Kluyveromyces lactis: one gene and its partners. The main gene of each other region encodes a partner of the protein of the gene in region 2 in a complex. Links are inferred from orthologs where the notes say so. Each region holds a gene or a part of one and is shown on either strand. Other genes may lie near its edges. The genes, in order: NDC1, NUP159, NUP1, NIC96, POM34, NUP133 and NUP120.

Region 1 (4,382 bases), on a different chromosome or scaffold from region 2:
TCAATGGTTTGCAAACTTTGATGAGCAGGTCCTAAAACCAGTATTTTTGGACAATAATTCCGCAATACCTTCTCAAACAAATACTAAATCATCAAACTCCCCAAATGACATGTCAGTTCGACGGACGTTGTGATTCATTTCTAACATTTTACAACTGCATAATATGTTGACTTTATGTGTATATACTTTTATGAACAAAAAACTGGCAAGCACTAAATAGATCATGCATTGTAAGGCACTTAGTCGAATTCTTCGTATTGTAGTACATCTCATTATCATTTGTTGTTATCCCAGTACAACACTTCTTGAGCAGATACTACAGACGTTGCTATTAAATTTATAAGACTTACGGTTGGCGAGAAACGTTAATTGTGCACGAAAAGCTAGTGCGGATCGATGAATTGATAAACCGATGGAAAAAGTCTTTTTAAATACGTAATGACCTTTTTGTAAAAATGAAGATAACGTTTGTATGCTTTGGTTTGTATTTTATTCATACGTAATGCTAAAATAAGTTTGTTATAACAAAAGTTCTGCTGTAACTCAAATACTAACCTCAATGGTCATTATGATCTAGTGAAGGTTAATGGAAAATAAAAACATTTCATGAATAATTCCGACTTCTGGAATAAGAAGCAAGTATTCTCCGCTCGCTTGTTCAGTACATGTAACATCTTCCTATAACATACCAGAAGTTTGGGGTAGATTTCTTCTCTTTTATAATGAAAGCAATATAACTTTTGAATATTATTAGAGTAACATGCTTCTGTTGGGAATAATCCAATTGATGCCAAGCTATGTTTAAATATCTTGTGACATTTTTTGCAACCACTGTGTTAACTTCACGACATCTTCGTCCAAATAAACATCGTTAAGGAGAGTGTCATACTTCAAAACTATTTCCAAAAATGCATTGATACATAAGTCATACAACACACTTATGACATCATTCAAATCCTTTTCTTGTTTTCCATCCAATATTAATTCAGTAAACGAACCTAAAGAGCCAATAGATCTTTCCAAAATTTTTAATACTTCGCCGACTGAAGATACGACAGCTCCTTTGGGATCTTCATCCACAGAATTTACTATAAAACCCATCATCGAATACACACACTCGGCATAGCATACTGGCACAGGACACAACTTCTCAGCTTCCCTTACTTTTGATATATGGTAAAGTTCAAACAATGAGAGCTTCTTGTTCGTGTTATCAGTTGAATCGATGGTGAAAAAGTACTGACTGATTCTTCTCTGTATCCAATTCCAAAGATCAGTCAAAACAGAAAGTACTGTAGGTTGTCTGGTAAAAATTGCTTGTTTGTATGAGTCGATAAATCTCGGAGGATTCGGACTTCTTTGGGTATCGTTGTTTTTGAAAACATTGCTGTCCTCTAAAACGATTCTATGTGAAGCCATTGATGGTAGATCCGAATTTATTTGTTCAGTAGGAGGAGCACCAGGTAATCTGGAATCCTCATCATTATTTTGTTTTCTGACAGTATGGTTGGTACCGAATAAATGATCTACCGATCTATTGATAGGGAAAGATGGTTTTGTAGGCTGGGGATCAATCTCTTTCTTCAATGTAAGCAAGAAATCGGATACGTTATAGTTGGTTTCTTGAATAACAATCATACATTCTCTAAGTATACCGGGCCAGATCAAGCTATTTCTATAGGTATTGTGGTAAATTGGGAGCCTCAACTCCACATTTGCACAAGTGGCTCTGTAGGCCAGCTCTTGGAATGCAGTAAGTTTAACAAATAATTTTTCTGATCTCAACCCAGTGATCAATGTCTCCATTGAAGCTGGAGATAACGAAGAGATTGGTTTACCTTTATGCAAGCAACCAATTGATAGAAAGGCGTCGAAGCCAATGTTTGTAAAGTCCCATGTTTGCAAGATTAACAAGCATATACAACAAATCCTAATATGGGACCATATACCAGAGCCTAGATGTCCGAATAAAAGCTTTAATAGAATTGGAGTAATTAGAAAGAGTATTGCAGTTAACACAAGACACTTCAAAAATGAATCATGGATTCTTGAAGCCATAAACTTCTGAGGATGTTGATGTTGAGCACCGTAGTTGAAAGTAAGTCTGTCAAGATCTAAAAGTACATGTTGGATGGAATACAAAAAAGGTACCATAAACTGACAACAAAATTCGTAATGCTGTGAATGCTTTCTTGAACCAGTACCTGGAGTGAAAAAGCAACAGGAAAATGTCAAAGAAAGGAAGAATGCGCTCACAACGTAAACTAAAAGGTACGTGATCCATTTACGGGAGACTAATTGGCCATATGATGCGCTTATCCAGCTCGTATATCCAAGGTAATTGACATGAAGATAGTTTTTCCTGGTAATAATTAGCATCAACATTGCAACATAGAAAGATAATATTTTTACTGGCCATAACAGTAATTTCTGAGATTTCGACAACTCCCATTGTGTCGTAATGGTTGTAATTAAACCGACAAGTACCGCTGTTTTGAAGAGTAAACCCCTGGCGAAATTATTAAACCTGCTCTTGCATACCCCACTGAATATCCGATGGTAAGTAAAACGAGAATCACGCAGTTGCGGTGCAACCGGTCCTAAACTCTGCACGTAAGACATCAATGAAAACAAACCAATCAAAGATGAACACAGGTAAAAGTACAGCCTGTATAGCAATAAGCTGAGTAATTTTAGATGCTTAAAACAGACAAAGGTCAATTGGACTTTAGGACAATCAATTACCTTCCGAGTTACTTATATTATTTATTTGTATATCATCTCAAGCATTTTAAGTTCTTAACAGGTTGTGATCTAGAGATCAGGCGTCATAAAAAAATTAGATATTCGGGTAACCCTCTTATGCCAATGTCATAGTTGATTTGCATGGTAACTCGAAACTAAAGACAATCACCTCCTTGTCAGTGAGGTCAGTCTCAACATATAGACGCTAAACGCGAACCTGATGATATCGTAAACAGTTGTTACATGTAAATAAGTAAATCAACTAAATATGTGTCATATTCTCTTTCTCTTTCTTGTAACAATGGTCTCGTGTCAACTTTAACGCTTAAAAGTTGATATTCTTGTCCAAAAGATATATACAAATATATACAAGGTCACTCATAGAGTACTGAAAATATTAGAATGATTTGCGTCGCCACTTTCATGACCAATGTAAGTACTTCTATGACAGCACAGGTACTGCCAATCCTATAATGATAATGTTAAGTTTCATTGCCATCCTTTCAAAACTCCTTTCAATTTACATGGCTCTCGCGTCTTTTAATACCGATAGAAACAGATCTTTTTCAAGTTTACGTGATTTAAGCTACTGCTCTGTTTACTTTTTTCAAATTTACTGTATTGATAAACTAAAACTTAAACAAACTAGGTCAAACAGTTAACGATTTTGCGCTGTTGAATTGGACAGGATACCACCTTGCTTGTGTCTTTAACTGGTAGAAGATTTTGTGGATTGGTATATTAGTGCGACTCGCATCAATTTTCCTTTTTGCAGTTTGTTAGATATGGAGGATACAGGAAGTGGCAAGAATGGTAAAGATGACATTCAAACGAAGTTAGATAAGAAGCTAGGACCAGAATATATTTCAAAGAGAGTAGGATTTGGATCCAGTAGAGTAGCATATATCGAAGGCTGGAAAGCAATCAATCTAGCAAACCAGATTTTTGGGTATGACGGATGGTCTACGGAGGTTAAAAATGTCACTATAGATTTCCTTGACGAAAGGCAAGGTCGATTTAGTATTGGATGCACCGCTATTGTTCGTGTTTCGTTAGCCGATGGAACGTTCAGAGAGGATATTGGGTATGGAACCGTGGAAAATGAACGGAGGAAAGCCAGCGCTTTCGAGCGTGCCAAGAAATCTGCAGTGACAGATGCGTTGAAAAGATCGTTAAGAGGGTTCGGAAACGCTCTTGGGAATTGTCTTTATGATAAGGATTTCTTGGCTAAGATTGATAAAGTGAAGTTTGATCCCCCAGATTTTGACGAGGGAAACCTTTTCAGACCTGCAGATGAATTAAGTGAGATGTCAAGATCAAATATGGTTGGAGATGCGCATACTGAGGGACCTTCTTTGAAGAAAAGAAGCCTAACAAATGAGGATAGAAATGCCGTACCTTCTGCACCTGCACAGCAAACGTACCGGTCAAATAATCATACAACACAGAAAAGAGCACCAAAAGCACAAGCAGTAACAGCATCCGCATCACCGAATGAAGAAACTAGCAATCAACAGCAGGACCCTGATGATTTACTTGATGATTCTTTCATGTTTAGCGACGAAATACAAGATGACGATTTACTCAATATGAATACGACAACAAATAACAAAAATTCTACTAATAGCAGTACAACC
Region 2 (2,958 bases):
AACGATCAATCTGAAGTGCCTAGTCCAGCTAATGATTCGAGCATTTCAGAAGATCAAGACGATATCGAATCTAACATTGTATCCTCTACCGATGAAAGTGATTCCTTATACGGAGAGGACAGGGAAATATATGATAATGATAGATCTGATATACACATCGAAGCCTCTTCAAAACCTTCTTCAACTGTTTTGAACTCAAACAGTGACATAGAAGAGGATGAAGCTGAGCAAAGCAACGAAGAACAAGCAAAAGTGGAGACCAAAGATGGGCAAGAAGAAGAAGAAGAAGAAGAAGAAGAAGAAGAAGAAGAAGAAGAAGAAGAAGAAGAAGAAGAAGAAGAAGAAGAAGAAGGAGAAGAAGAAGAAGAAAAGGAGGAGGGAGAGGAAGAGGAGAAGGAGCAGCAAGCGCAAGATGAAGAACAAGTGAAAGATGATACTAAAGATGTATCAAAGGAGAAAAAGCAAGAAGAAGACAAAGGAAATGATAAGCAGGTCAAAGGTGATCTGCTCACTGAAGGATCTTTCCCATCGGCGGAGAGCACAACCCCTGTTGCTGCGTCTTACGTTACTGAGGAAGATGACACCAGATCGTCTGTTGCTTCTTTTACCGATAGGATAAAGAAAGCGGCTAACCTCTCAACGGAGAATATTGCCAATCCATTCATGAAATCCACAGCAGTTGAAAACAAAGATTCCTCACCTTTTTCGGGCTTCACAAATTCCTTATCCAAAGATACAGGAAAGGCTCCCGCATTTTCCTTTGCCAATCTCAAGAAGGATGGTTCTGAAATTACCTCACCACTGTCTAATGTCAATTCTATTAGCAACGAAAGTGTTATGAGAGAGCCAGAACCAGAATTAAAACAGAAAACTGGTGATGAGCCGGACCCCGAAGTGGCAACTCCCTCTACTAACCTCGCAAGTTCAGAACAGAAAAAGGAAGCACTTTCAAAGGATCAAGAAATTGTACCATCTTCAACTGTCAGTCCAGAATCTGGTAGCGTCTCTTCTTCACCAGTTGTGGTAGATTATCCTCCAGTCAAAATGAGTAAATCATCCGGTACTACTACAAAAGAATATGTTTCACAGCATGTGCAAGCGAGTGTACCTGTAGGAAGCGCTTCCACTCAAAGTCTTACTAAAGAAAGTGCAGACTTTACTTTACAAGCCTTTGAAAATGATGAGCAATATATAGCTGAAAGGTATCTTCCTGAAATGCCTAGTGCTTTCTATTCCACTGCTGAACTTAAAGAATTCAGTACAATATCTTCCGATGAAGTTGTACAGGCCGTTGAAAAAACAAATGCTCAAGTTTTAGCAAACATTCAAGTGTTACGCTCAAATATCGACAACATTGGGAAGTTTATAGGTGACCATTCCCAAAATTTATTCAAACGTACTGAGAAAACTGTCCCAATTGTCTCCTCCTGGAGACTTGGTGAGGCGGCCACTCTTTTGGATATCCTTACTTCCAAGGCTAAACAAAGCTACGAATTGAAACAGTCTTACCAAAGGTTAGCAGATAGTTCTTCTGCGGTAACTAATTTCGACATGCTAATCACGACACTAAAACGCCAATATGACATTCTTGAACTCTCCAACAGGACATCTAATCATTCCAACAGGAAACTTTCTTGGAGTCAGCATCATATCTCAACTATGGTAAAGAGGAAACTTGAAGAAGTCTCCTCGAAACTGGATGAAATTAGAGAATCCATTCAAGTACTAAAGCTTTACAATCTTACAAATACCAAGGAAGCACTGCATGCTGTGCAGCAATTGTCATTAAACGGAGGCATTGGCAGAGAAAACTTGTTAACAGAGATTCAGTCGTTAAGAGAAGAAATTTCTGTGTTAAAATTGTCGGCAGAAAAACCAAACCAACTAGAACCTGAGAATCTATTAATTAACACAGCTTCTACATCGTTGCCCCTTCTCGAAACTACTTTGGAGTTATATACAAGGGCTCAATTAGGAGATTTTTTCTCATCTAAACTGTCTACGTAATGTGTAGAACGAAATGGTCCAGTTGAATACGCTAAATAATTGCTTGCATCCACCTTTTCAAACCTTAATTAAGCCATTATTAAAGCAAGATGTTTCCTGAACTCTTTAATTAGAACATCATTTTCTTGCTTAGTACCAATGGTGATTCTTAAACCACCTGCGCAGCCAGGCTCATTACCTCTATATCTTGTTATAACAGCTGATTCAACGGCAAGCCTTTCATATAGCTTCTTAGTCAAAGCGTTGTCTCCATTGTTGATGTTTAATAAGATGAAATTAGCGTCTAGGCCACCCAATTGGGAAACATATGGAGAAGAAGTCAACTCCTTCAACACTCTCAATTTTTCCTTTTTAACTGTGGCAGCATTCTCTTCCATCAATTTCAAGTTTTTTGGTTGTACTGCTTTCAAAGCAACTTCTGCAGTCGAGCAAGAAATATTATAAGGAGCCTTCATCGAATTCAAGACTCTTGACATAGCTTTAGATGTATACGTAACTCCTAGTCTGATTCCAGCTAGGCCAAATGACTTAGAAAGAGTTTGTAAAACAGCAATATTTTCGTACTTTGTTGCTAGCGGTGCCAAGGACCCCTTATCAGAACCCTCAACAAAATCGATGTATGCTTCATCTACAACAACAAGACCCGTTTGCCATTGTGATAGAATCTTTTCAATACGATTAACATCGATAAAGGTACCAGTTGGATTACCTGGTGAAGTAATGAACACCAACTTGATTGAGGGATCGTTTTGCAAAGTTTCTAAGATCTTTTCCTCATCGATTTGGAATTTGTCTTCTTCAGATAACAATAATGGTACCGTAACGTATTCAACATCGTTAACCTGAGAACAGATGGTATACATTCCATACGTAGCAGGTGCAATTAAGATTTTTTCCTTTGCTGGCACACAGCACGCTCTAATAAGGGCATCGATGCTTTCATCAGATCCA
Region 3 (5,025 bases), on a different chromosome or scaffold from region 2:
CCTACACCACCGCCAATAACTGAATACTTAATTATTCGTAAAACACCTATCAGTACACTTCCTAGTATTGATCTGAATAAAGGTTGTAAAGAAGAGATCATAATTACCACAAAGCACCCTAAGAGGAATGAAGGGACGTGAAGTACATTATAAGGTTTCGAGTGAACACATTTTTGTAAGTGGGTAAGGCGTGGCAGTATTTGTTCTGAAATGTCCATGGTTATGGAGTTTTTTACTTTACTGGAAGATATTAATTTAGTGATTGACACTTTCATGTTACATATTTAAAGAATGCGCTTTTGTTGATTTTCACAACATTACGGTATTATGAAGTTGACTAGGCGAAACGAATATTCACGTGACTCATAATTCAATTGAATTCCTGCAAAGCTGTCATGAACTGCGCTACGCATAGCAGTTTCAATGTAACTAAATTTGATCAATACTTTCCAGAAATGCCTATGTTTCAAGTAATAGCCGGTTCAATTTGGATACCACAAGCGAAATCACTCAATTTCTTGCTATTGAGTATGTTAGACTTGATTTATAAGTTGATGTAGTTCCACTTAAAGATTTTACGAGCATCTCATCCGTTAACGAAGCTCCATTCGAGTACTCTCTCGAAACAAAATTTTTTACCTAAACTTTAAGATGACATTAGTAGATACATTCTTACACATAAATGTAAAGATGTCGGAAGGAATGATATCATGCAATAATTGTTACAATTGAGATGCAAAGCCTTTGTTTTCCTTTATTAGCCTCTTCTTCTTCTCCTACCGGGCATAGCAATTTTGCGCTGCGGTGGAAATGGTGCCCCTCCTTGAGGAGTTGAAGCCTGCGCATTGAATATGTCCGCTGGATTCTGCTGACCAGCGGAAAATATGGACGATGGATTCTGTTGCGGGGTTTGGGATCCAAATACTACAGAAGGACTTTGAGATGGTTGACCACCAAAATTAAAATTGGCAGCGGCTGAAGGATTAAATGTGTTTGTCTGCATAGAATTACCGAAACCGGTACCCAATGCTGGTACCTGGGGAGTGGAAGAAGCTGAGCTTCCGCCGAATGAAAAAGGTACATTAGGCTGATTGGAACTGGTTCCAAATGCAGGTGAACTGTTGGTAGTGCTTGGCCCACTTCCAGTAAAAGTAAATGGTTTTTGATTTTGTTGTGCAAAAGTAAATGTAGTTTGAGTAGGCTGCGTTACACTTATCTTATTCCCAGGTTGAACGACATTATCAAATGAGAATGGGACAGGAGGGTTGCTTCCACGAGCAGATCCAACATTTGATGAATCTGAAAACGGAGTCGGAGTAGTTTGTCTATTATTATTTTTAAACCCTGTCAAATCAAATTTGAGTCCGCTGACAGGCTGGCCACTGGTGTTCTGACTTGCAAACGAAGGAATTGCATTGGAAGCTTTTTCAATTGAGGGCTGCTGGATGGCAGAGGAACTTCCAAAAGAGAATGCAGGTTTCGAACTCATATCACCTTGAACAGGTTTCTTTGTGGTCCCGAACGAAAATGATGGTGCAGCAGCTTCTTTTGGGGTTGTATCAGAAGGTAGGGCTGCTGGGGTGCTACCAAAGGAGAATGCAGGTTTTACAGCAGTACTGACGGCATTTTTGGCTTCCTGCTTCTCTGTCGCGTTGTCTGCTGAAGGCTGTTGGTTGAGAGAAAATGCTGATGTATTCGAAGCTTGCCCAAAACTGAAAGGTTTAGCTTTTTCCTTCTCAATATTTTTTGACGAATCATTTCCTACAGGTTTACCACCAAAGCTGAATGATGGCAGCACTGGTGCTTCAGTTTTTGTACCATCTGGTCTCTTTGCGGCAGGTTCAGTACTACCACTGGAACCAAACTGAAATAGTGGTTTAGGTGTATTAGTTGATTGAGAGGTACTCAATGGGGTCAGATCTGGAGTAGATGATTTTCCTTTGTTGAAGCTAAACATAGGTTTTGACATTTCACTGACATTAGTTGGTTCGCCTGCATCTTTTTGGCTGCCAAAACTGAATGAAGGGGCGGGTTTAGCTATCTCTTTGCCTTCTGAAGATTTTCCAAAACTAAATGTAGGTATATTTGATATCCCAGTTGTATCCGCACCAGTGAAGCTGAACTTAGGGAGGCCGTCTTTAGCCAGATTTTCAACAGGTTCGGGGGCGGATTTCTCAAAGGGGTTTTTGGATGTTTCAGCTTTTTTGGTCTCTTTCTTGGTTTTTGATAAATCACCAAAGGTGAAAGAAGGAGCACCATCTGAGATTTTTGTGCCTCCATTGGCTGTAGCTGTGTTGTTTTTTTTTACCGCATCAAAAGAAAAAGCAGGTTTCGATGGTTCAGTTGATGTTTCCAGCGACTTAGAACTTGTGAAGGGAAATGGTTTAACAGTGTCCTCAGTAGAACTAAATTCTTTCTTTTTTCTTGGTAACTCTTCAGAATCCTGAGAAGGGGCCGTTAATTTCTGTTTATCATTGTTGAATAAATCCAATTTGGTATTTCCAAAAGATATATTTTTGGATACTGTTGGTTTGGTAGGTGTATCTGTGCTACCTGGGAAAATAGAAGTACTGTCTCTATTCATAAAGTCAAATCCAACACTTGGGCCGTTAGCGTTTAAAACTTTATCTTCTGATATTTTTTCCTTGACGATAGGTTTCAATGATAGTGTTGGTGCAACTACTTCTTGTGCTATCTTTGGATTTTTTTGCAATGTCTTTCCTTGTAATAACCTGCTTTGAACATCAGTTAAGCCAGATCCACTAGGCACTCCTGTTTGATCAAAAGTATTGACATGTTTCTTTGAAGAGGTACTCCTTTTTAGCAATGGATGTGGTAGTTTAGGAGATTCCAAATTCCCCATTGAGGCAGATACTGGTTTCGTCTTTTTGTCGTTTTTCAAGATATCATATTCTGATAAATCGTATTGAAAATCAGCTTTCCACTTCTTGGACTTTGGGTTATCGGAAACCCTATGATTTTTCTTGTCACTTTGTAGTTTGTTGACGAGTAAATTCTTTATAGTAGCATTTTTGCCGTCTGTTAAGCGATATAGGCCGTTCTCTGCTGATTGTAATTGTCTTTGTAAAAGTGGGAATTGCCGAGCACGGCGCAGTTGCTGCATCCTTAGTAGCCGCAATCTTTGTTTCGGTTCTATCGTTAGTACTGGAGGCCTTACACCATGTTCAGAATCCCCTTCATACAAGAAAATATTCGGTCTTTCATCATAATTGATATCATCAATGCCATTGTGATTTAACGGGTGATCGGTGATTTTTTCGTTATTCCAAACCAATTCCTCGTAACCGTCGAAGCCACGTTTTTGCCTCTTGATGACCACTGATCCTGAATCACTGATATCTTCATTGTGCGACCTTGTTATATTCGGATCTTCGCTATTCGTATCGTCATGCTTGGTAAATAATGATGCCAAAGTCGATGAAATCGATCTTTTGGGTTTTTCCAGATATGATGCCGACATTATTCTATAAAGTGGCCGTGATATGCGGCAAGTGAACCAGAGTCCAATTCAAGTTTTCGATTCCTATTTCTTTCGAAACTGCTGTTTCTGTAACTTTCTTGCGTATTAATAAAGGTATTATTCGATATTTGATAATTCGATATTTCAAGTCCTAACATTCCTAGCTGTTATTTTTTTCCTCTTACAGGGTTATAATCACTTTGTACGGTTTGACACATATTGACCTAAACTAACCAAGGCGTCAGTATAAGAGAGTCTAGCTAGGAGATGGACATAAATTTGCATTAGTTCCAAAACATCAATATGGGGCTCGACTATTATCCAAAATTTATTATAACGATTCTACATTATGAAAGTTTAAAGATTTGCCGTCCACTTAATACAAAAGTACCCTTTTTCGTTATTTTAGCTTTCAAGTTTTATATAGAACTCAAGTTTTGTTCATTTTTCTATACATAAGGCCTGAAAGTGACATGAGGGATCGAAAAGAACAAATTGATATATAAGTAAAGAAAAACTTAACGTTAAACTGCAAGAACGCACAGGATAGAACGTAGTGTGCATCAATGCCATGCTTAACAGTACAAGTGTTCTATTCTTGTGAAATTCAGATTATCACGTGACCGATTTCTCCCCATCCTGTCATACATTCGTCCCATCTTGTTTTTTTTTTTTTAGTTTGGGGAAACCTTGAAGAACGCGTCATGGAGGAAATCAAGTAAAAAGTGCAACACCGAATGTGGTTATGAGGCTTCGACACCACAGAACAGACCGCTTGATTCCGAAACGAAGAGGCCATATCGGTCAAGGAAAATCCCAAAAAACACCTTGAAGGGACAGAAGACTGAAACGAACACATAAGTCTAAATCCGAAAAGAAAAGAATCATTACACTAGAAGAAAATGGGCAGTGGAACATCGCACGATGCCTTCGACTACGAGTCATGAAGTGGGAGATCGATAAATGTCATAAATGTCATAAATGTGCTATTTTTATGGCTGAGCTCTGCTAATGGTATCATATAGTTTTTTTTTTTTTTTTGTAGTTTTCAATATTCCCTGATCGAATCTGGGTTGCCTCGAGAAAAATGTGATATTAGAATAGCGTATATCCACTGTTCAATTGAAGAAAACTGAAAAATTACAAACGAAGGCATTTTACCTTTAACAACTCGGTATCGTTTTTTGTTTCCTTAGGTGCTTTACTAAGTTATTTGATCGTTTGACGTGAATATCCTGAAACCACATTGGTCGTTGTTGATTTCTTCTTAACAAATCCGCTATTTTTCTTTATTTCAATTGGAAATAGGTTGGGAGAAAGCTGTTCAGTAATCTTTCAATAAGCCATGAGCGAGACCAGAATCAATAAGGAGCGTTCTGCGCGTCTCCTTGGGATAATTATCGTTGCTGCAATTACCATCTATTTGTTGTTCCAAGGTGCTTCATACAATGGTGGATACAGCACTGGTGTGTCATCTTCGCAGAATGCAAATCAGTACGAGACCGTTCGCATGAAGGGTGATTCCCGTGTTGTTGTAGACCCAA
Region 4 (5,090 bases), on a different chromosome or scaffold from region 2:
ATTAAGAAAAATTTCTTCTTATGTTCACAATAAAGGTATCACTTCTCCAGAAGCCTATGAAACTGCAAGGCTCTGTTTATTGGACACATTAGGTTGTGGTTTGGCTGCTTTGAAATATGATCAACCTAAAAACCTTATCAAGCCAATTGTGCCTGGCACGATTGTACCTAACGGTACCAAAGTGTTGGGTACTAAATATAGAATGGACCCTGTGAAAGGTGCGTTTGCTATCGGAACTTTAATTCGTTGGTTGGATTTCAATGATTGTTGGTTAGCTGCAGAGTGGGGACATCCCTCTGATAATTTAGGTGGTATTCTTGCCGTGGCAGATCATTTAACTAGATTGTCAAAGGCCACCGGAGGTGATGAGGGAAGATTATTCACCGTGAAAGATGTGTTAGAAGCTATGATCAAAGCACATGAGATTCAAGGTATTATTGCCTTGGAGAATTCCTTTAATAAGGTAGGATTGGACCACGTTGTTTTGGTCAAAGTTGCTACCACTGCTGTGGTTTCCAAGATGTTGGGTCTATCAGAAGCTCAGACCACAGAAGCTTTATCTCATGCTTTTGTAGATGGACAAGCTTTAAGAACTTATAGGCATGCTCCAAATACTGGTTCCAGGAAATCTTGGGCTGCCGGTGACGCAGTGGCAAGAGCTGTCAACATTGCATATTTGGTGAAGAATGGAAGTCCAGGTACAATTCCTTCCGTACTAACCGCTAAGACATGGGGTTTTTATGACGTTCTTTTCAAAGGTAAACCATTCACCTTCCAGCAAAGGGACACTTTCGGTTCTTATGTGATGGAAAACGTTCTTTTCAAGATATCGTTCCCAGCAGAATTCCATGCTCAAACGGCAGTGGAAGCAGCTATTAAGGTGAATAAACAGTTGGCAGAGTTGGGCAAAACTTACAAAGACATTAAAAAGGTCAGAATTAGAACTCAAGAAGCCGCTGTGAGAATTATTGACAAGGAGGGTCCATTGTACAATTATGCTGACAGAGATCATTGTATTCAATACATGACTGCTATTCCATTAATTTACGGTAGACTAACGGCTGACGATTACAGTGATGAAGTAGCAAGCAACCCTGAAATTGACGAATTGAGAGCTAAGATGTATTGTACTAAAGATGACCAATTCACTTTGGATTATCATGATCCATCAAAGAGATCAATCCCAAACGCTTTGTTAGTAGAATTGAATGATGGGACTGTCTTAGATGAAGTGGTCGTAGAATATCCAATCGGTCACAGACTAAGAAGAAAGGAAGGTGTCCCACTATTGATGCAGAAATTCTACCACCATTTGCGTGAACATTTCGCCGGCGATATTGAAAAGGTGGAAGCTTTAATGGAAGCAAGTACAGATGACGGTTTCTTAAACTTAACTGTTGATGAATATGTCAACATGTACTGCGATTAAGCTTTGTCCTTCGCACAGCATCATCAACGTATAACGACCACAATCAATTTTTCATTTCATTCAACTCTTTTTTTGAACTAAACGAAGTAAAACCTACATTTCAATGGTAACCAAAACAACATTTTCTATTCTACAAAAACTGACCACAGGAATCAAAAGATTCTGGCAATCATCAATTCCAGATTACAATATATAATTAACTTATTTTCTCTTGAGTTAATACATACATACTTATGTTTTAATATTAATTACTGTCATGATCAATTTCTGGCTGTCCATTTTTTTGTCCCGTCACATGTTCGGGTAACGGTGCAAAACATTGTAGTTAAAAAAAATTAGACAGAAAACAATAAAAGAAAATGTAAACTATCAATACGTTGAATAGATGATGGAAATAATTCATTGAAGATACTTTGAAAATCAATACACATTGTTGCTATCCATCGCATCAAATTATCTTTAACCCGTTCAGATTTTGGAATTGTAAAATCCACACAATCGTGGAACTATGAATATCAACAGTCAAATCAGCAGTGATACAATGCTATCTGCATTTCAAAACGATGCAAAGACTAGTGGCTCCACGTCTAAGAGCTCATCGAAATTATTCAATGAGCTTTTAGAAACGTCAAAGAACTTACCTTCTACTTCATCTGACCTTGGAGCTATCTTATTGAGTGTCAATGAGATGAAAAAGAGGGCACAGGAGATGCGTAAGACAATTCCTCACGATTCCAATCATACAAAAGCTCATTATCTCTTAGCAGGAAGTGGACTTGAATTTCACGAAATTGAGAGTTCCTTGAAGAATCTTAAGTCATCAGAGTTGTTAACCGAACAACGGGTTGCACAAGGCTATAACGATGGTGATTTGGACACTTATTTACATATTAAGAAGGATGAGAATATCCTTTCCTCCATTGAACAATCATTGTCTTTAGCAGCGAAGGATTTTGATAATTTCATTAATCAGAACTTCAACCTAGATTGGAAGCAAAGGAAAGATGAAGTAAGAGAAAGCTTTGGGATCCTAGTCAAGAAACGTCAGGATAGTTCTAACTACGATACGACTAATTTGGCTCCTTTGGATCCCAACGGTCCAATATTTTGGGGGAAACCACCTGGTAGTGGTATCTTGGATGGTGATTTAAATTCAAATGTCAATGGAAATCACATCCTTAGAGAAAAGTTTGAGAAATATGCCAAAATTATTTACAGGTTTAACAATTCAAGACAATCACATAATGACGATTTTCAATTAACCAAAGAGTTCATTGCCATCTTTCAGAATACGACCGACTCGAAGTATAGACAGCTACTTGACGGTTGGGAGATTATAGATAATGCAACAAATCAATCCCCAAATATTGTTGAGTTTTCCAAAAAATACCTAGAAAACCAGTTCTTGAGCTATGTTGACAATTTGTATTCAAAGAATCCAAGCGAAGGTTTACCGACCAATGTTAACAAAATTAGAGCATTTATTGACCTCAAACTGAAGACTGGTGAAAATACTTGGAAATTTAACAATCTTACGATTGTGAATGGAATTCCCGTATGGGCCTTGATTTTTTATTTGCTAAGGGCTGGTTTACCGCAGGACGCGCTAGAAGTAGTTGTTAACAACAAATTGAGTTTCAAAAAAGTGGAGCAATCTTTCCTAACATACTTCAAAGCTTATGTAACGTCTCCTGATCATCGTCTTCCACAGGAATTTGTCTCAAGGTTGCATACAGAATATAACCAGCATATCAAAAACACTTTGGACAGCGATCCGTTCCGTTTGGCGGTCTACAAAATTATTGGCAGATGTGATTTGACAAGGAAGAATATCTCTTCTATTACTCTAAGCGTGGAAGATTGGTTATGGATTCACTTGATGTTAATCAAAGATGATATGGATATGGATGATCCAGTATATGAAAGGTATACCCTCAGCGATTTCCAACATACTGTTGTCTCTTACGGTGAGTACATGTTTAAAAACTATTATCTACAGGCCCTTTTGTTAAGCGGACAATATGAACTAGCAGTACAGTACTCATACAAAATAAATGAAATCGATGCTGTTCACTTGGCAATTGGTCTAGCGGCAAATGGCATGTTACATGTGTCATCTTATAAAAAGGATGAGTTGATCTCCGTGAATGATGGCCAAACAAGGATAAACTTTGTTAAGGTATTAGGAAATTACACAAAGTCGTTCAAGTACTCTGATCCAAGAATAGCTGTCGAATATCTAATTCTCATCGCACTAGTGAATGAGAAAGAGCAGATTGAATGGGCGTATGAGGCACTCAGGGAATTGATCTTGGAAACTAAAGAGTTCACCATACTTCTCGGAAAGATCAACTCTGAAGGAATTAGGATCCCCGGTGTAGTTGAAGAAAGACGCCCATTATTACAGCTTGAGGACCAGAAGGACTTTTTGTATAAGATTACCGAACAGGCTGCTCGTAGGGCTGATGAAGAAAGAAGAATTCATGATAGTTTGTTGTTGTACCAGTTATCAGAAGAATATGACATTGTTATGTCCATTATCAACAAGTTATTGGGAGAACTTCTAAGTAGCACTGACCTCAATCAATCCCTCTTTAGGTTGAATGACAACAGCGAAACGAATTACGTCTTAATGGCAAAGAAGTTAATCGAAGTGTACATCAACAACATCGAAATCTCTAAAAAGGTTCAGGCAAGAAACAAAGAAACATGTATTGTCTTGTTGAAACTAGCTGATATAAGAGCATCATTCCTAGCACGCCAATGGCAAAACACCCTACAACAGATTGAAGATCTCGATTTAATTCCGTTCACGGATGAAAGCTCGACCAGAAAAAGAGCACAAGAATTTACACATTTGGATGAGAATATATTAAAGAACATACCTAACCTGTTGATAATTACAATGCTATGCATTTCTAACATCATAAAGCAGTTGAACGAAAGTGATTACCAATCTTTGACTAAAAAGCAGCAAATCGATTCTCTCAAACGTGTTGCTAAAAATTGTATGATTTATGCTGGTATGATTCAATACAAAATGCCAAGAGAAACTTACAGCATATTAATCAATATAGAAGTTGGTTTGTAGCAGAGCTCTCATTTATGAGCACCTGAGTTATGTCAGAACCCAGACGTCCTACCATAATAGCATACAATAAAATAACCATGTGTAAGTCGATTGTTATTCGATATAATTGCCTGATAGATTATATATGCATATGTATATATATACATTTGAACTGCCAATTACCTTTTCAGCAGTGCATTGTTGTAGTGAGTAGAAGATGCAACGAAATGTACAAGAAGTGAAAGAGTATGCTGATCAAATTCCTAAATCATTGAGCGTCTTTTCTGTTCTTATCTCTATAAGCGCTGTAATCTGGCTGGACTTCGTATGCATTCGGACTTGGTGGACGTTTTTGCTCAAGCTTTTTTCTCCGCCTTTCGAGTCTTGCCTTTCTTCTTTCGTCAAAGCTTTTTCCCTCATCCTCGTCTGAAGAAGACGAAGATGATGAAGACGATGAATCATGTCCATGATTATGATCGTGCTCGCACTCTCCTTCCTCTTCTTCATCACTCTCTAATGGGGTATTAGGATGGAAAATGCAACAAATCTTAGTTTTCTTCTTGTTCATGTTCTCATTATCTATTACTTTCT
Region 5 (3,848 bases), about 1.1 Mb from region 2:
TTATTCGTTTTATGAAAACGTTCGTCAGGAAGTTTAACGTTATCCCGAAATTCTACAGCTTTAAAATGACGAATTCTACGCAGTTACCTCAGACTTTTGATGGGACTATTGATCTAGGAATCATTGGCGGTACTGGTTTGTACACTTTGGATTGTTTGGAACCAATTGCCATTCTTCCGTGTATGGAAACACCTTGGGGTAAGACTTCTTCTCCAATCACGGTGTCTCGTGTAAAATCAGATGAAACTGAGCATTTCCATGTGGCCTTTATTGCTAGACACGGTGTGAATCATGAGTACCCACCAACAAGGGTTCCATTCAGAGCTAACATTGCTGCCTTGAAGAACTTGAAAACCAGTGCTATTTTGTCCTTCAGTGCTGTCGGTTCTTTACAACAGGAAATTAAACCAAGAGACTTCGTGTTGCCTCAACAAATCATCGATAGAACCAAGGGGATCAGAGAGTCCTCTTACTTCAACGATGAAGGCCTAGTTGGGCATGTTGTGTTCGGTGAACCATTCTCCAAGTCATTTGCTGAGTATATTTATCAATTCAAAGATATTCTGGAAAACCCAGAGTCTGAAGAACCTTGCCTGTTGCACTACAATAGAGAACTAACCGTTGTCTGTATGGAAGGTCCCCAATTTTCGACCAGGGCTGAATCTAAGATGTACCGTCTGATGGGTGGAGATGTCATCAACATGAGTGTGATCCCTGAAGCGAAATTGGCTCGTGAATGTGAAATTCTATACCAGATGGTTTGTATGTCTACCGATTATGATGCATGGAGAGACGAAGAAGAACCAGTGTCTGTACAAACTGTTATCCGTAATTTACAGAACAATGCCAAAAATGCTAACCATTTGGCATCCCGGGTCATTTTAGAAATGGCAAAGCAACTTCCTGAATTTATGAACAACGGTGATGGTCTAAAGGATGCCATGAAGTACTCCATTTCAACAAAACCTGAAGCCATGTCTCAAGATGCCTTGGCCAAGCTAAAGTTTCTATTCCCAAACCATTGGTAACGCTGTAAATTTCTCTTCTATAAACTTTATAAACTATACGCGGTAGGTAGCCATGTAAGTAATAACATTCTTATCATAACTGCTATCAGAGGTTCGAAACCAAAAGAAGAAGAAAAAGAATCGTTCTCCGAAGTACGCATGCTTTTCAGCGCTTCTTCATCGCACTTGGTGAGTCCATCATATAAGTATACCGGTTGCTTGGAATATATCCGGGACGAGTGTCTGGCTGTGAGCGTGTCGATGTGAATAAAGTTGTAGGAGTATTGGAGACATTTGTTATGTGATCGACACCAAAGGCGTTTACTTTCTTCGGTTGTAAAGAGAAAGATACATGATTTTTTTTCACTTCTGCTTGCTGAAGGGTATTCAACTCACGCATTTTCATTGGAGTCTGTAAAGATTTGAATATGAAAGGCTTGTGGCTGGATTTTGATTCTGCTTCATTTAAGGATTTCACTTTAGAGTTACCTATATTAATTGAAGGATCAAAGGATCTACCATAGTCGGGGGTGCTTTCCACAACCCCTAACAAGCGTTTTTGATTCTCGGTTAGATGCAAATCTGATATGTCCGTATTTTGTGCTTTTATCAGCAAGTTCCAAAGACACGATGCAATGTTAAAAATGACAATAGTATGGAATATACTGGTTGCAAATTGCCAAGAAAGCATTTGGAACCAAAATGAATTGATGTTGGCATGTGGGTTAATCTTATAAACAACGTTTTTCAATACGAAAAGATACAGTTCGTCTCGAAGTTGGGATCCCCTTTTAGTGAATTGGAAGAATAATGACACGAATTTGTATATGAGATTCCAAATCATTGCCAACACTACATTAGTCAACAACCTTCTCATCTCCAACTCTTTATTAACCATACGAGATGTGAAAGCAGCCAACGCCGGGTTTTCGAAATCAGTCAATTTATCATATGCGGAATCTTCGGAAAAGTTCAAATCCGTTTGTTGTTTCTGTCCCACCGGTTCGTCCGGTAGCAGATCAGAATTTGTCACTGGTGCGGTATCTTGCTGTGTAGAATATGCCTGGTTACTTTTTCCTCGAAAAACAGGGGATGCGGTATGTGTATTAGTTGATGCTGAAGGTTTCGCGTCAAATCTGCCAGAGAACGCAGATGCAGCAAACACAGAGGAAGAATCTGACTTGGAAACATCAGTCTTGCTGGTAGGATCACTCAATACCTTGTGTTTATACAATGCAGGCGACTGTTTGATAGCTTTTTCCCTTAAGGATTGAAATTGCTGCTGGCTCAAAGGCCTATTGGGAGTCTGAAAAGTCTTGGCCGGTGTGCCAGGCGCAGAAATTCCATTATCCATTGCTACTCTCACCTTTTTCCTTTATATATCTTGATCCCTGTATTTACGGGGTAAACTCTCGATCAATTACCACAGTAAAAACACCACTAATATCAGGATATGAAACTTACCGTATCCAGGTAAAAACTGAACGATTCTTATTTATTAACATTGAAGAACTAGCTGTGTTTTTAGTAGTTAAACTAAGAAGTGAATCTTCAAGCCGGCCTCTATCTCTTTCAAGTGAAAAACATCTCGTTACCCGCACCATCTTGTGCCAGGGAAAAGAAAAAATTCTTTTTGCTTCGTTTGGTTCGTTCTTTAAGTTTTGATGTTCTGTTCAGCATGGAAAAACCAGAAACAGTCAACTTTTGCAGATTAAACAATTTTGAGAATAGAACATTGGTCATTGACTAACTCTCTTATTTTAACTGCAACTTAATTTTTTTTGGAGGCCATTTACAGAAGGGCAGTAAAGTCTTGAAAAGTACCGGGATTTGTCAGTGTACGGGTACTATATCAAGGGGCCAGTGGTTTCAGGGAGCCTGATTGGTTTGTGTATTTAGGTTTTTTTTGTTTGCTATCTTTCTTTGCTTAGATAGAAAGAAAGAACATATATTAATAACAGTATCAATCCGTTTGAAAAACCAATCTGATTAATATCGGTTATCCATTTTTTTTGGGCTCAGTGTGTGATTTTTGGTTTCTCTCACTCGCTCAGTGTCTCGATTTATTTATAGGTCGCTGTTGATTTTGTTAGGAATAAAAGTGATGGGATTCATTGCATCTTTATTGTGTGGTTCAAGCGATTCGGATAGCTCTAGGAAACAGAAGGGTAGGAATTCATCGTCAAGTAACAATAGTAATAAAGGTTCTAGTGGGTCAAGCTCGGAGAAAAGTAAGAGCAAGAATACGCTAAGTGCAAAGAAGAGTGGACGTCCAGGGGTTGCTGCGACTCATTCAAGACAATCAGAAATTCATACTACGTTATCCAATTCTACAGCCAAGATGCATCTGAAAAAGAAAAATGCGGCGAACAAGCATAGCTCAACTGTAGCGGCTGTTGCAAGTGCGCCTGTTGAGAAGAGTCCGCTGTCGAAGAATACGGCTGCTGTTAGTAATAACGATACTGATAGTGATGTCGTTGACGTTGACATGGTTGGAGAGGAAGATGACGATGTGGATGTAAAAGGGGATGAAAAGCAAACACTGTTGGTATATAACGCTGAATCTGATACAAGTACTGGCACAACTGCAGACACCGCAGTGTCTGCAACTCAGCCAACTGCAGAGGTCACGACCACGATTCACGAGACTGAACATACCAGTAGTGCGGATGACTCCGAGGGCATTCATAGTCAAGGCGTTAGCGATGTAGAAATGACAAATGGGGAGCCCGAAGATGGGGAACCTTTGGATTTGTCTCAATTGCAGCCAGATCAGGCCCATGCACCGGGGTGCAATACCTTGTTGTTGCCGAAGGCCGATATGTTTAAGGGTAAGAAATG
Region 6 (4,974 bases), on a different chromosome or scaffold from region 2:
ATTGAATATATACATATGGTGTATAAACAGGTTTTATACTATGTACAATTAATTGGTGTGGCACCTTCTTCTATTATTGAATTAGAAAGATGTGGGACTTGTCTCGATTGTGTTAGTTGCGTAATTGATGACACATTGGTTACCGGTTTCCTCGTTGATTTCTCCAATGATGGATTGTAACATCGTAACGTCCAAATTCGAATTAGCGAAAAGAGCAACCTCTCGTTTGACGTCGCTAGCTAATTTATTAAGATCGGTTAGTCCATGGTACATGCCATCCAGGTATGAGTCAGTGATCAATTTCTCATTGGCCAAGTTGTCGATGATTGGAAGTTCGATACTTTGATGGTAGAACTGCTGCTTGAAAAAGACCCTTAAAGTTTGTCTAACCGCATTTTCATCGGATAAGAGACACCTTCTCCAGATCTGGTACTCGCAGTACTTTTTTACTTCAGTGGGTAACGTGTGATCAATGGCAAGGATACTCAATGCAAATCCATAAGAAGTATCTTGATTTAATAGTGTGAATAATTCTATCATATGCGGCACTGAGAGAGATTCTCTCCTCTTCACAGCATCGCTCAAATATTTGAACAAAGTTCGATAGGTGGTAAAGTCTTTGAATAGTGGGTTGAGAGTTGATTCTTGTAGTTCTTGGGATAGAAGAATTTGCCCATCGATGAGATCTAATTCGGTTTGAATTTCGTTTAGCTTTTCAAGATCTTGAACTTCCGCGGCAAGAGCTGTTAATTTGGCAATACTCAATTGTGCCTGTCTTTGTTTCAAATCTTGACCCAGCGATTGAGTTCCAGTAGAAATACTCAACAAAGTTGTAGTTGCTTCGTCGTATTTATGGCAATATATGTTTCCAATCCATTTAACTTTGCCATACTCGGGACATTCTCCTAAGAACTGGTCCAAATATTCTGAATGGGTTTCACCAAACGATTCGTAAAGATCATCCCATAGCCCTTCCTTGATATAGTAGGAAAATAAGGATTTTGCAAAGTCGTATCCGTATTTCTGGAAGAATTCATCGTATAGAGAGAATGCGGTAATTTTTGGCAGAGATTGCAAAGTTTCAACTAAGCCTTCAAAGTCTTGGTAAAAATCTGTGATTAGAATTGAATCCTGAGACCTGTTAACATCCCTAAGGACCCTATTCCAAAGTAAATGATTTTCTTCGAAAAACTGTTTATAACTAGAATCAGTAATGGCATTTGCATCAATCCACATGGTTATTTGCCTGACCATATAAAATAGAGACTTAACCAATAGCAGTAATTCCTCTACAAATTCTGACACAACGGCAAGATCTTCAGAGGCATGCCTTAACAAGAAGAAGATGTCATTAAGATTTTCTATTATGCTATTTGTTGTGAACCAAGGGATATTTTTTGATACATCATCTGGGCTCATCTGGAAAAGTCCATACCTGTAGCTGTTTTCACATTCTTCTAATATGGAATGATAAACTAGTTGATTTATAAGCTTTGCGATCTGAGATTTTAACATAGTTTCATTTGTGGATTTCATTAGGTCTTTCAAATGCTTCAAAAAGGCGCCCAATAATTCTGGAATCTTAACAATGCCGTCTGAGATAAAATCAGAATCCGATTGATAGGAACTTTCTGATAGTACTGTCTTCCAAGCTTGTGAAATAGATGTTGGTTGTTGCGGTAGTAAAGAGTACAAGCTTTCCAAACATTTTATCATTTCAAAATCAGAAATCAAGTCCAGTTTGAATTGGGAAGATGTTTGATCCAAAAAATTATGAGCAACAAATGTGAGAAGTCTTTCAAAAAGTTCGCTTCTTATTTTTAAGTGTTTCATGGGGTTGTTAGCAACAGGCGGTATGTGGTTTGATAATGCATATTTAATCTCATCACTGGACATTTGAATATCTGTTTCAATTTCTTGTGGTTGTAGATCTAGATTGTCAGGTAAGTTGAAGTCTAGTAATGAATCCGTTGATTGTCCTCCAAAATAGACGTATTGATCCACATGAGACTTTATGAATCTAATTTCTTGGAAGTCAGAGTTTTCGTATTTTTCAAAAGTCTCCAACTTTAACGCACATGTTCTTCCATCAGTAATGTATAAGGAACTTGAATTACAATCGTACCCAAGAACTTTCATATCTTTGTTAAACCGTATAATGTCCTCCCATTTCCTTTTAAATGGATAATTAGAGTCCAATTTGGAACTTGTTTGAGTTAGGACAGCAGCATCAGAGAATAAAGTGTAAACAGACGTTATCGGTAAATGTTCCTTGGTGTATGCAGTTGGGACTATAAGTCTTGGGGCAAATTCATCTGATAATGGTCGCGTGTATGTGTTTAATCTGTAAGTAGAGAAGATAGCGAAACTGTTAGTATCTTCATCCACAATGATGGTTGATAGTAAATAGTGCGTTTCGTTACTTTCCGCTAAGAAACTCAAGAACAAGTATGCATCCGAGTCTCCTGATAAAGGATGACAATCGAGTAGTTTCAGTGTAGATGTTGCCAAGGGGAAATGCTCTAAGACTGCCTGTGAAATTTCAGACTGTACATTTAAATCGATCTTTTTGTAACAATTCCCAACAGATGAAAGGTTCCACACCTGATATCGCCCGCCCTGGGTTAAAATAGAAACTATTCTTTCTCCTTTACCGCTGATTTCGCCCAATTTGAGAGATACCACTCTCTTTGATTTGGACATGGATGAAAAGATTCCGACTTGACATTTTATTATGGTTTGTTTTAGCGATACAAAAGGTTTCCCGTTAGCATCTCTTATAGTACAAAACTCAACACGCCCGTAATTTGTCGAAAGTAATATTCCAGCTGGTTCTGCATTAATCAAATTCTCTACATATTCACCGTCACGTAGTTTTAAAACTGATTTATGACGTTTGGTTTGCGTCAAGAAACTTGCCACTTGACTCACAGTATCAACATCTTCATAGAATTGAATGTCACCGGATCTACTGTTCACTAAAAATAAGCCAGGGCTTGATTTCAAGTCACGTTCGAGCACACTAGGCCACGTAAAGCAACATAATGGAGGACGGGACCATGATTCATATTCCTCGTCATGTAATGGAATCCTTACAAAACTAGGGTGTGTTTCAGAAGATAAAAATGGCCAAACGTAAACATTATCAGTATCGCAGCATAAGGCGTACCCAGATTTTGCATCAACGCTACAACATAATTCCACATTACTGGGCAAAAAACTTAAACTTGGCGCTAACTTCGATACCTTATACTTCCCATTCTCTGTGATAACTTGTTCATTCGAAAATTGTACATTGGTGACAGCAGAACCAGTTGTCGTTTCCTCAGCAGAGATTACTGAATCCTCTGGTGCTGCTGCTGGTACACTAAGCTCTTTCCTGAGCTGAAACAATTGCTTCATCTTGTACTATCTTGACACTGAAAAAAAAAGCCAAAAGAATCACCAAATGTAAAACTTTGAAATTCTAATCTCAATTGATCCACTACCTTGTTAGCCGAACCTAGCTTGACCTTGCATTGCTGTAATTATAAAGGTAAATAGACTCTCTGATGCTCATTGTTTAAAATCTTGGTCAATGTTTCTGTTTTCATTGTCGCCAAAGAAATCGTCATAAGTGATGTCACGTGAAACATTTTCCGCCACGTGACTTTGGAATAGTTTCTTTTCACTTATCAAGTAACTTGGAAAATTAAATCTTTAAACTGGAACAAATCGATGCGATGAGCTAAATGCGATGAGCTAAGTTACAGTCTACATAGTTCATCTTTTGGCTCAGATTTCTATCCTATAAGGTGTAATTGTTGTGATTTGTATCAAGACACCGTAAACACCAGGATGATCAGAACAGTAAAGCCTAAGAATGCCCGTGCTAAAAGGGCTTTGGATAAAAAAGAAGCAAAATTGGTTGAGAATGTAAAGCAAGCTTTATTCATTCCTGGTCAAACTTCTACCAAGTTGTTGCATGATTCAATGGTTGATTTGAGTGCGTTGAAGAAGCCTGATATCAAGAGATTCTCCAAGAAGAACAACATCAGACCTTTTGAAGATTATGAACCATTAGAGTTTTTATCTGAAAAGAATGATACATCGCTTATGGTGTTGAGCACACATTCTAAGAAGAGAAGAAACAATTTGACTTTTATTCGTACGTTTGGGTATAAGATCTATGATATTATCGAGTTGCAGATTGCAGAAAACTATAAACTTTTGTCTGATTTCAGAAAACAAACTTTTAACGTTGGGTTAAAGCCAATGTTCAGTTTCCAAGGTGCAGCCTTTGAACAACATCCAGTTTACCAGCATATCAAATCATTGTTCCTTGACTTTTTCAGAGGTCAGAATACCACTTTGCAAGATGTTGCAGGTTTGCAACATATCATTTCTATCACTGTCCAAGGTGATTTCCAAGACGGTGAACCATTACCAAATGTTCTATTCAGAGTGTATCACTTGAAGACTTACAAGTCCGAACAAGGTGGTAAGAAGTTACCTAGAGTGGAATTGGAAGAGATTGGTCCAAGATTCGATTTCAAGATCGGAAGAATTCACACTCCATCTCCAGAAATGGTCAAGGAAGCCCATAAGAAACCTAGACAATTGGAAGTCAGAGTTGCTAAGAACGTTGAGATCGATACTATGGGTGATAAGATCGGTAGAGTGCATGTGGGTAAGCAAGATTTGGGTCAATTGCAAACTAGAAAGATGAAGGGTTTGAAGGCTAAATACGATCAAGTGGATTCGGATATGGAAGAGTACCTAGAAGAAGTTGAAGGCGATCTTGATCAAGAAAATGTCGATGACACTTACGGTGAAGAATTCGTAACGGCAACAGATATCGATGCTCCACCTGCTAAGAAGCAAAAGAAATAAATTCCATTGACAATAAAAACTGACTGTATAATATAATTCATATACATATCTAATCATATACATACACATTCGCATATATATGAGATAAAGGTGAAATAGAGT
Region 7 (5,091 bases), on a different chromosome or scaffold from region 2:
AACAAAGCTTTCAATATATATGTTTATCTACTTTGAACACTTATTCATTTTGTCATTCAATTCATGTAAATGAATAATTTGTCCTGGATAGCTGATGAACCATTGGTCCTTAGCATCTGAAAATGTCTTTAAGACATTGGATATTAGAAGTAGGCACTTTTCTTTAACCTCGTCGTTCGATCCGAAGAGTACATAGTCATATAGTTCCTCGCACGCTTTCCTTTCATGTTGATTTAGTATTCTGAAAGAGAACAACTTTTTATAGCTGTTCCAATCAGTGAGAGAAACTTGTGATGATAAAATTGAAGCTATAATTTTATAATCACTCACACATAATAGTATGGATCCGTTGGAAATGTTTGCATTGTAGCATTCTTGGAGTAAAGTTGCAGTGAACATTTCACTGTACTTTTGATCACTCAGCAGTGTATAATAGTATTTTTCTCTTAGGCTTATATCAAGGACTTTTTGTTCCAACCTCAATACATCCAGGACTTCTTTATAATCGCCAAATACTATCAATGTATCTAAGTATTGTATCAACTGATCTGCTCTTGTACCATCAAGTGATATAGATTTTTTGATGGTTTTTAAAGCATTAGCATACGATGAAGCTTTGGAACATAGAACTGAAAGTTCATAATAGTATGCTGGTTTATCTTTTGTATTGATCGCATGAAGGAGATTGTACCAAACGTGATTTTCAGTAACCTCCAGATATTTAGGTAGTGAGAGCTCATCAGAGAAGTCATTTGCCAAGAATATTTCAATAGATGCATCATATTCATTGCATTTGAACAAAGAAAGAGCATATAGTAGTTCTTCTACTGGATCCTTGGACACATGGTAAGGCTTAGCAACAAAGTGTAGGAATTGCTTTGCACAAGTCAAATCTTCGCCGTTCAATATGAAATCGGAAAAGGCTCTTGTAAATATTGGAGGTTCAGCTGTTGGAGAATTCTTGACAAAACCAACCATTAATGTAGTAAAGTCGGTTATATCGCTGTAAGATTTCAATTGTGCACCATAATTGTATTTAGTAACATGACCGAAGGTCTCAGAAATTGCCAATAATTTATCTATTTGATACACTTGGAGCCACAATGAGATATTGAAGTGCAAGGTAATTAACTTAGACAACTTCTCTGCAAAAACTTCATAGTTGATATCCACAATAGTGAATACTAACAATATATCAATGATAAACTTATCCATAATGGAGAGTGTCTGCTTCAAGGATTCCATAGACAAAACAGATAAGAAAATGTCAGTATCTAATAAATCAATAACTGAAAAAGCACCTACTTTCAAATCACAGTGTATAAATTCGGATAAAACCTCCACCACATCAATAGAATTTAGATTTTCCAACAATTTTGATAAATTAGCACTTTGGAAACCATTTGTTAGACAATCTTGAAAGACAATGGTAATTTTATTTTTCAATGATAACGAGGGATTTATTGAACCATTTACCATGTCTAAGAACTTCTCAGATATCTTATTTAACGTTTCAGATGTAATGGTTGTTGAAAAACCATGCAGGATATTTAAGAAAAGCTCTAGTTGAGACGAGGGTTCCTTTCTCTCAAAAATGTTAAAGAAAATTGTTTCAAGTTGTGAGTCTAACTTATACGTGGAATGATGATACATGTGTAAGCTGTTAACAACAATTATCTCATCATCAAGAATAGTTAGAGTTGAAGGCTCCTGATATTGTTTATGAAGTTCTTTCAAAAGAGCTTCTAGATTATTCAAATAATCTTGATTATGAGGATCATTTATCTGCACCATGACATTATTTTTATTCAGTATCTTTTGTGCGTCATCGTACGTTGATTGTGAGTAGTGTGACTTGAGATTGAGGAGAGCCTTTTCCATATTTCCGTTTGTTATTAGGTCTGAGTCATCAAGCAAATCAGAGAGGTATGTGCTGTTACCATCAATCCATTTGTAGCTACTATACAGAGAGTCTTCGAAGGAGAGTAGTTGTAGCTTGGTCACTGTGTTACTTTTCCATAATAAAACCAAGTTGAGTCCCGATTGTTTGACAATTGAGGATTTTACTAATTGAATGTCAATTAAAGACCATATTGAATAAGATGAAAGATTGAGAGGTATATTAACGTTTAATGGTTTGAAGGAGATTCTTGAAGAATGCGTATTTTCTAATTGAATGACTTGGAACGATCCATTACCTGCAGGTAGGTATACAAACAGGAGAGATCCACAAATTATCATGTATTTTCCGGCAGCTCCATAATTCACCTGCTGGTTTTTCTCTTTTAGATCGAAATGCGCATTTAGTTGATATGTGGTTAAATCCCAGATTTTAATGGTTGCATCATTCGTTAATGTGACAAGATACTTGTCATTCAAAAGTTCTGCAGATACCACTGCAGAGTTGTGGTTATCGTACTTTGAAAACATTCTTGTAAAACTTTGAAAGTATGAACTATCATTGAATAGGACAGGTTGCAATTCAAAATCGTTTAATATTTCGAGCGGAATACGTTTTAACCCCAAAAGACCACCATCTTTTAGAAATACTACACTGAAGGTGTTATCAACATGAAATAGACACTGTGGAGGACGTACTGAGAAATCATACGGGTTTAAAACCTTCAACCAATTCTCAGGATACTCATTTTGACGAGTTCTCGATAGAATAAAATCGATAGGCAATGAAAGGTTGATGAAAATTCCATCCTTTAAAATCACATCAAAACATAGGTTGGAGGTCGTTTCACTAGATTCGTATACGACTGCAGTAAACCATTTGTTCAGAAGAGGTTTTGGAAAGTGGATATATATGGTTTTCCTTGCAAAAGTTTCCTTCATGGAGTAAATACTCAAAACAGTGTAATTATTACACCATTGGAAGGACAACGATTCATCAATTAATTTTAGTTGCAACAGTTTGCTGTACTCTACGGAAGTTATTTCTTCTGTAGATGATCCAACATTCCCATTGACGTATAAATGTTGGGCATTGTCTGATGAGTGCTTCGATTTTAATTGTAGTAAATTTGTATTCAGACGAGAAAAGCTGGTCATTTTTCGCAGTTTCAGCTTTACCTCTCAGCTGTTCAATAGTAATGTTGTAGGTTTATGTTCCGATTTAGCCTGTAATTGAAGTTCTCTGGTGGCTGTTCTCTTCTGTTTACCGATTCCACTTCATGTCAGATTGATTTCAACATGTCTTTTCTCATTGTTGTTGTAACCATGAAAACAATATTATCCGGGTAACTTATAACTGAATTTTAAGGTCGCTTGGGCAATAATTTCCATGTTGTGAGGAGGATTATATAGGTACTCTGGGGATACCATGTCTATAGACGATGACGTTCGTCTTGTACTGTTTTACATGAGCATTATAGATTATTTTCCTATATTTCTCTTTGAATTATAGCGGCAGCTTTGATTACTATAGCATTGCGTTCATAAGCTCATAATTTTTTCTAGTCGTATCACACCGTTATAGCCACCAGAAACGATTACAGGGGTATCATCTATGACTGTGGATGCAATGGCAATTGGTTGCACTTCAGCGGGAACCTTCTCAGGGTGTTCATAATGATTGTATTTTCTAATTACTTTACCATCTTCTTTGATTGACTTCACGAGTATTGAACCATCCTTCAAAGCGGTGACAGTGTACTCCAAATCATTGAGGAAAATCGAGGAAATAGCAGATTCTGCGGTAGAAGACACTAAAATGGTCTTCTTCTGATCGAAAGAGTAAATCAGAGTTTCTGTATCGAATCTCACAAGCAATTTTGATGTCGACCTGTTCAATGCTAATTCATTATTTGTGTGATGGAATTGGGTCAGCGAATGAGAAAGATCGATTTGTTGTAAAAGGGAGCCTTGAAAGTCGAAGATAGAAATCTTTACGTTTTGTTTTGAACTACCATTTAATATTATAAGCGATTTTTCCGTTAATCCCAACAAACAATTGAGAATCTTATTGGGGACTGAAATGACGAATTCATTAACCTTAACGATACTGGAGTCATCGATTTTAATTTCCCAGACCCGTATCTCGTTAACGAAAGTCAAAATTAGCCATTTATTTTTGAAATCTACAGATTGTAAGCCTTCTAAATCCTTGAGGCCATCCCAAGATATGACAGGGTCGCTCTGGCTTACGTTCCACAACTTGACGGAAGTTTCATCCACAGTCATAAACCTTGTTTTATTCAACCAAAAAATACCCAAGAGGTTAGGCACACAGTGAAACGCCTTGGTTGCCTTTTCATTAGAGTTCAAACTAGGTTCAATGAGCCAGTGCTTTAGTAAACCATCTGAGCCAAAAGATAGCATGTTGTTTCCGAGAAGCTTCAATTTGCTAATTGAAGATAAATGATACTGTAAGAAACGATAAGTATGGAATTTGAGCATCTCATTGGATTGTGTTGAGAACAAGGACGATGATCTTGATCGCCTTGTGTTTATTACAGTTTCGGCATCAGAAACGTCATCTCCTGGGGGTGAATTTATGACATCTTTCCAATCCCTGTTTAGAGTGATATTTGGGACATCACTGCTGGTACTATTGGCCTCTTTATCATTGATGATAAGATCCCCGTCGTCAACTTGCGAATTACTTATTTTATGTTCGTTTTTAACTTCGGTTCTATTATCAGTACCATTCTTGAGAATGCTAGAGTTGTTGACATTAAACAAATTCAAGGATTCTAATTTTTTCACCGAATCATCTTTATCATTCAATGATTCCAACTGATCTGTTACTGGCGGGCTTTTCAAAAGGTACACTATTTCTTTAATGTTTTCTTGCACCGATAGTTTTGAATGTAACAGTTCTTCCTCTTGCTCCCATGATTCTAGCGGCAAGGATTTTCCGGTCTCATCGTTTTCGTTTAGGTTCCCCGATGACGAACAGCCAGAATCTTTCAATTGGTTCTGCAATTTAACCAATCCAGATTTCAAATCTCTATTCTCACCTTCCAATTGGGCGATTCTCGATTTCATTTCACATCTTTCCAACTCCCAATTGATCCTGTCCCTTTCATTCTTAGTATATTCTGTCTGCAAATAGTGCATTACACCAGGCAATGTATAATGAGC

The links.
Region 1: NUP159 (region 2) and NDC1 share a complex: the UniProt entries of both Saccharomyces cerevisiae proteins name them as parts of the nuclear pore complex. The link is inferred for Kluyveromyces lactis from reciprocal best matches to the Saccharomyces cerevisiae genes NUP159 and NDC1.
Region 3: NUP159 (region 2) and NUP1 share a complex: the UniProt entries of both Saccharomyces cerevisiae proteins name them as parts of the nuclear pore complex. The link is inferred for Kluyveromyces lactis from reciprocal best matches to the Saccharomyces cerevisiae genes NUP159 and NUP1.
Region 4: NUP159 (region 2) and NIC96 share a complex: the UniProt entries of both Saccharomyces cerevisiae proteins name them as parts of the nuclear pore complex. The link is inferred for Kluyveromyces lactis from reciprocal best matches to the Saccharomyces cerevisiae genes NUP159 and NIC96.
Region 5: NUP159 (region 2) and POM34 share a complex: the UniProt entries of both Saccharomyces cerevisiae proteins name them as parts of the nuclear pore complex. The link is inferred for Kluyveromyces lactis from reciprocal best matches to the Saccharomyces cerevisiae genes NUP159 and POM34.
Region 6: NUP159 (region 2) and NUP133 share a complex: the UniProt entries of both Saccharomyces cerevisiae proteins name them as parts of the nuclear pore complex. The link is inferred for Kluyveromyces lactis from reciprocal best matches to the Saccharomyces cerevisiae genes NUP159 and NUP133.
Region 7: NUP159 (region 2) and NUP120 share a complex: the UniProt entries of both Saccharomyces cerevisiae proteins name them as parts of the nuclear pore complex. The link is inferred for Kluyveromyces lactis from reciprocal best matches to the Saccharomyces cerevisiae genes NUP159 and NUP120.

Annotation. Positions count from the first base shown.
Region 1 is NC_006038.1:138,883-143,264, forward strand, and holds NDC1 (Ndc1p), read right to left. Parts: upstream 2,623-4,382; coding exon 802-2,622; downstream 1-801. Other genes in the region: bifunctional K:H/Na:H antiporter NHX1, read left to right, coding at 1-133; recombinase RAD52, read left to right, coding at 3,531-4,382. UniProt on the Saccharomyces cerevisiae protein: Functions as a component of the nuclear pore complex (NPC) and the spindle pole body (SPB), probably by playing a key role in de novo assembly and insertion of both structures in the nuclear envelope.
Region 2 is NC_006042.1:327,879-330,836, reverse strand, and holds the end of NUP159 (FG-nucleoporin NUP159), read left to right. Parts: coding exon 1-2,007; downstream 2,008-2,958. Other genes in the region: HIS5 (histidinol-phosphate transaminase), read right to left, coding at 2,076-2,958. UniProt on the Saccharomyces cerevisiae protein: Functions as a component of the nuclear pore complex (NPC).
Region 3 is NC_006039.1:1,148,167-1,153,191, reverse strand, and holds NUP1 (FG-nucleoporin NUP1), read right to left. Parts: upstream 3,482-5,025; coding exon 758-3,481; downstream 1-757. Other genes in the region: KLLA0_C13497g (uncharacterized protein), read right to left, coding at 1-275; alpha-1,2-mannosyltransferase KTR1, read left to right, coding at 4,827-5,025. UniProt on the Saccharomyces cerevisiae protein: Functions as a component of the nuclear pore complex (NPC).
Region 4 is NC_006041.1:1,253,643-1,258,732, reverse strand, and holds NIC96 (linker nucleoporin NIC96), read left to right. Parts: upstream 1-1,937; coding exon 1,938-4,520; downstream 4,521-5,090. Other genes in the region: PDH1 (putative 2-methylcitrate dehydratase), read left to right, coding at 1-1,429; type 1 protein phosphatase-activating protein YPI1, read right to left, coding at 4,768-5,090. UniProt on the Saccharomyces cerevisiae protein: Functions as a component of the nuclear pore complex (NPC).
Region 5 is NC_006042.1:1,442,068-1,445,915, reverse strand, and holds POM34 (Pom34p), read right to left. Parts: upstream 2,362-3,848; coding exon 1,174-2,361; downstream 1-1,173. Other genes in the region: MEU1 (S-methyl-5-thioadenosine phosphorylase), read left to right, coding at 12-1,028; PSR1 (phosphatase), read left to right, coding at 3,112-3,848. UniProt on the Saccharomyces cerevisiae protein: Functions as a component of the nuclear pore complex (NPC).
Region 6 is NC_006037.1:702,452-707,425, forward strand, and holds NUP133 (Nup133p), read right to left. Parts: upstream 3,403-4,974; coding exon 82-3,402; downstream 1-81. Other genes in the region: rRNA-binding ribosome biosynthesis protein RPF2, read left to right, coding at 3,838-4,872. UniProt on the Saccharomyces cerevisiae protein: Functions as a component of the nuclear pore complex (NPC).
Region 7 is NC_006039.1:1,079,954-1,085,044, reverse strand, and holds NUP120 (Nup120p), read right to left. Parts: upstream 3,058-5,091; coding exon 28-3,057; downstream 1-27. Other genes in the region: TAP42 (Tap42p), read left to right, coding at 1-1; FAR8 (Far8p), read right to left, coding at 3,442-5,091. UniProt on the Saccharomyces cerevisiae protein: Functions as a component of the nuclear pore complex (NPC).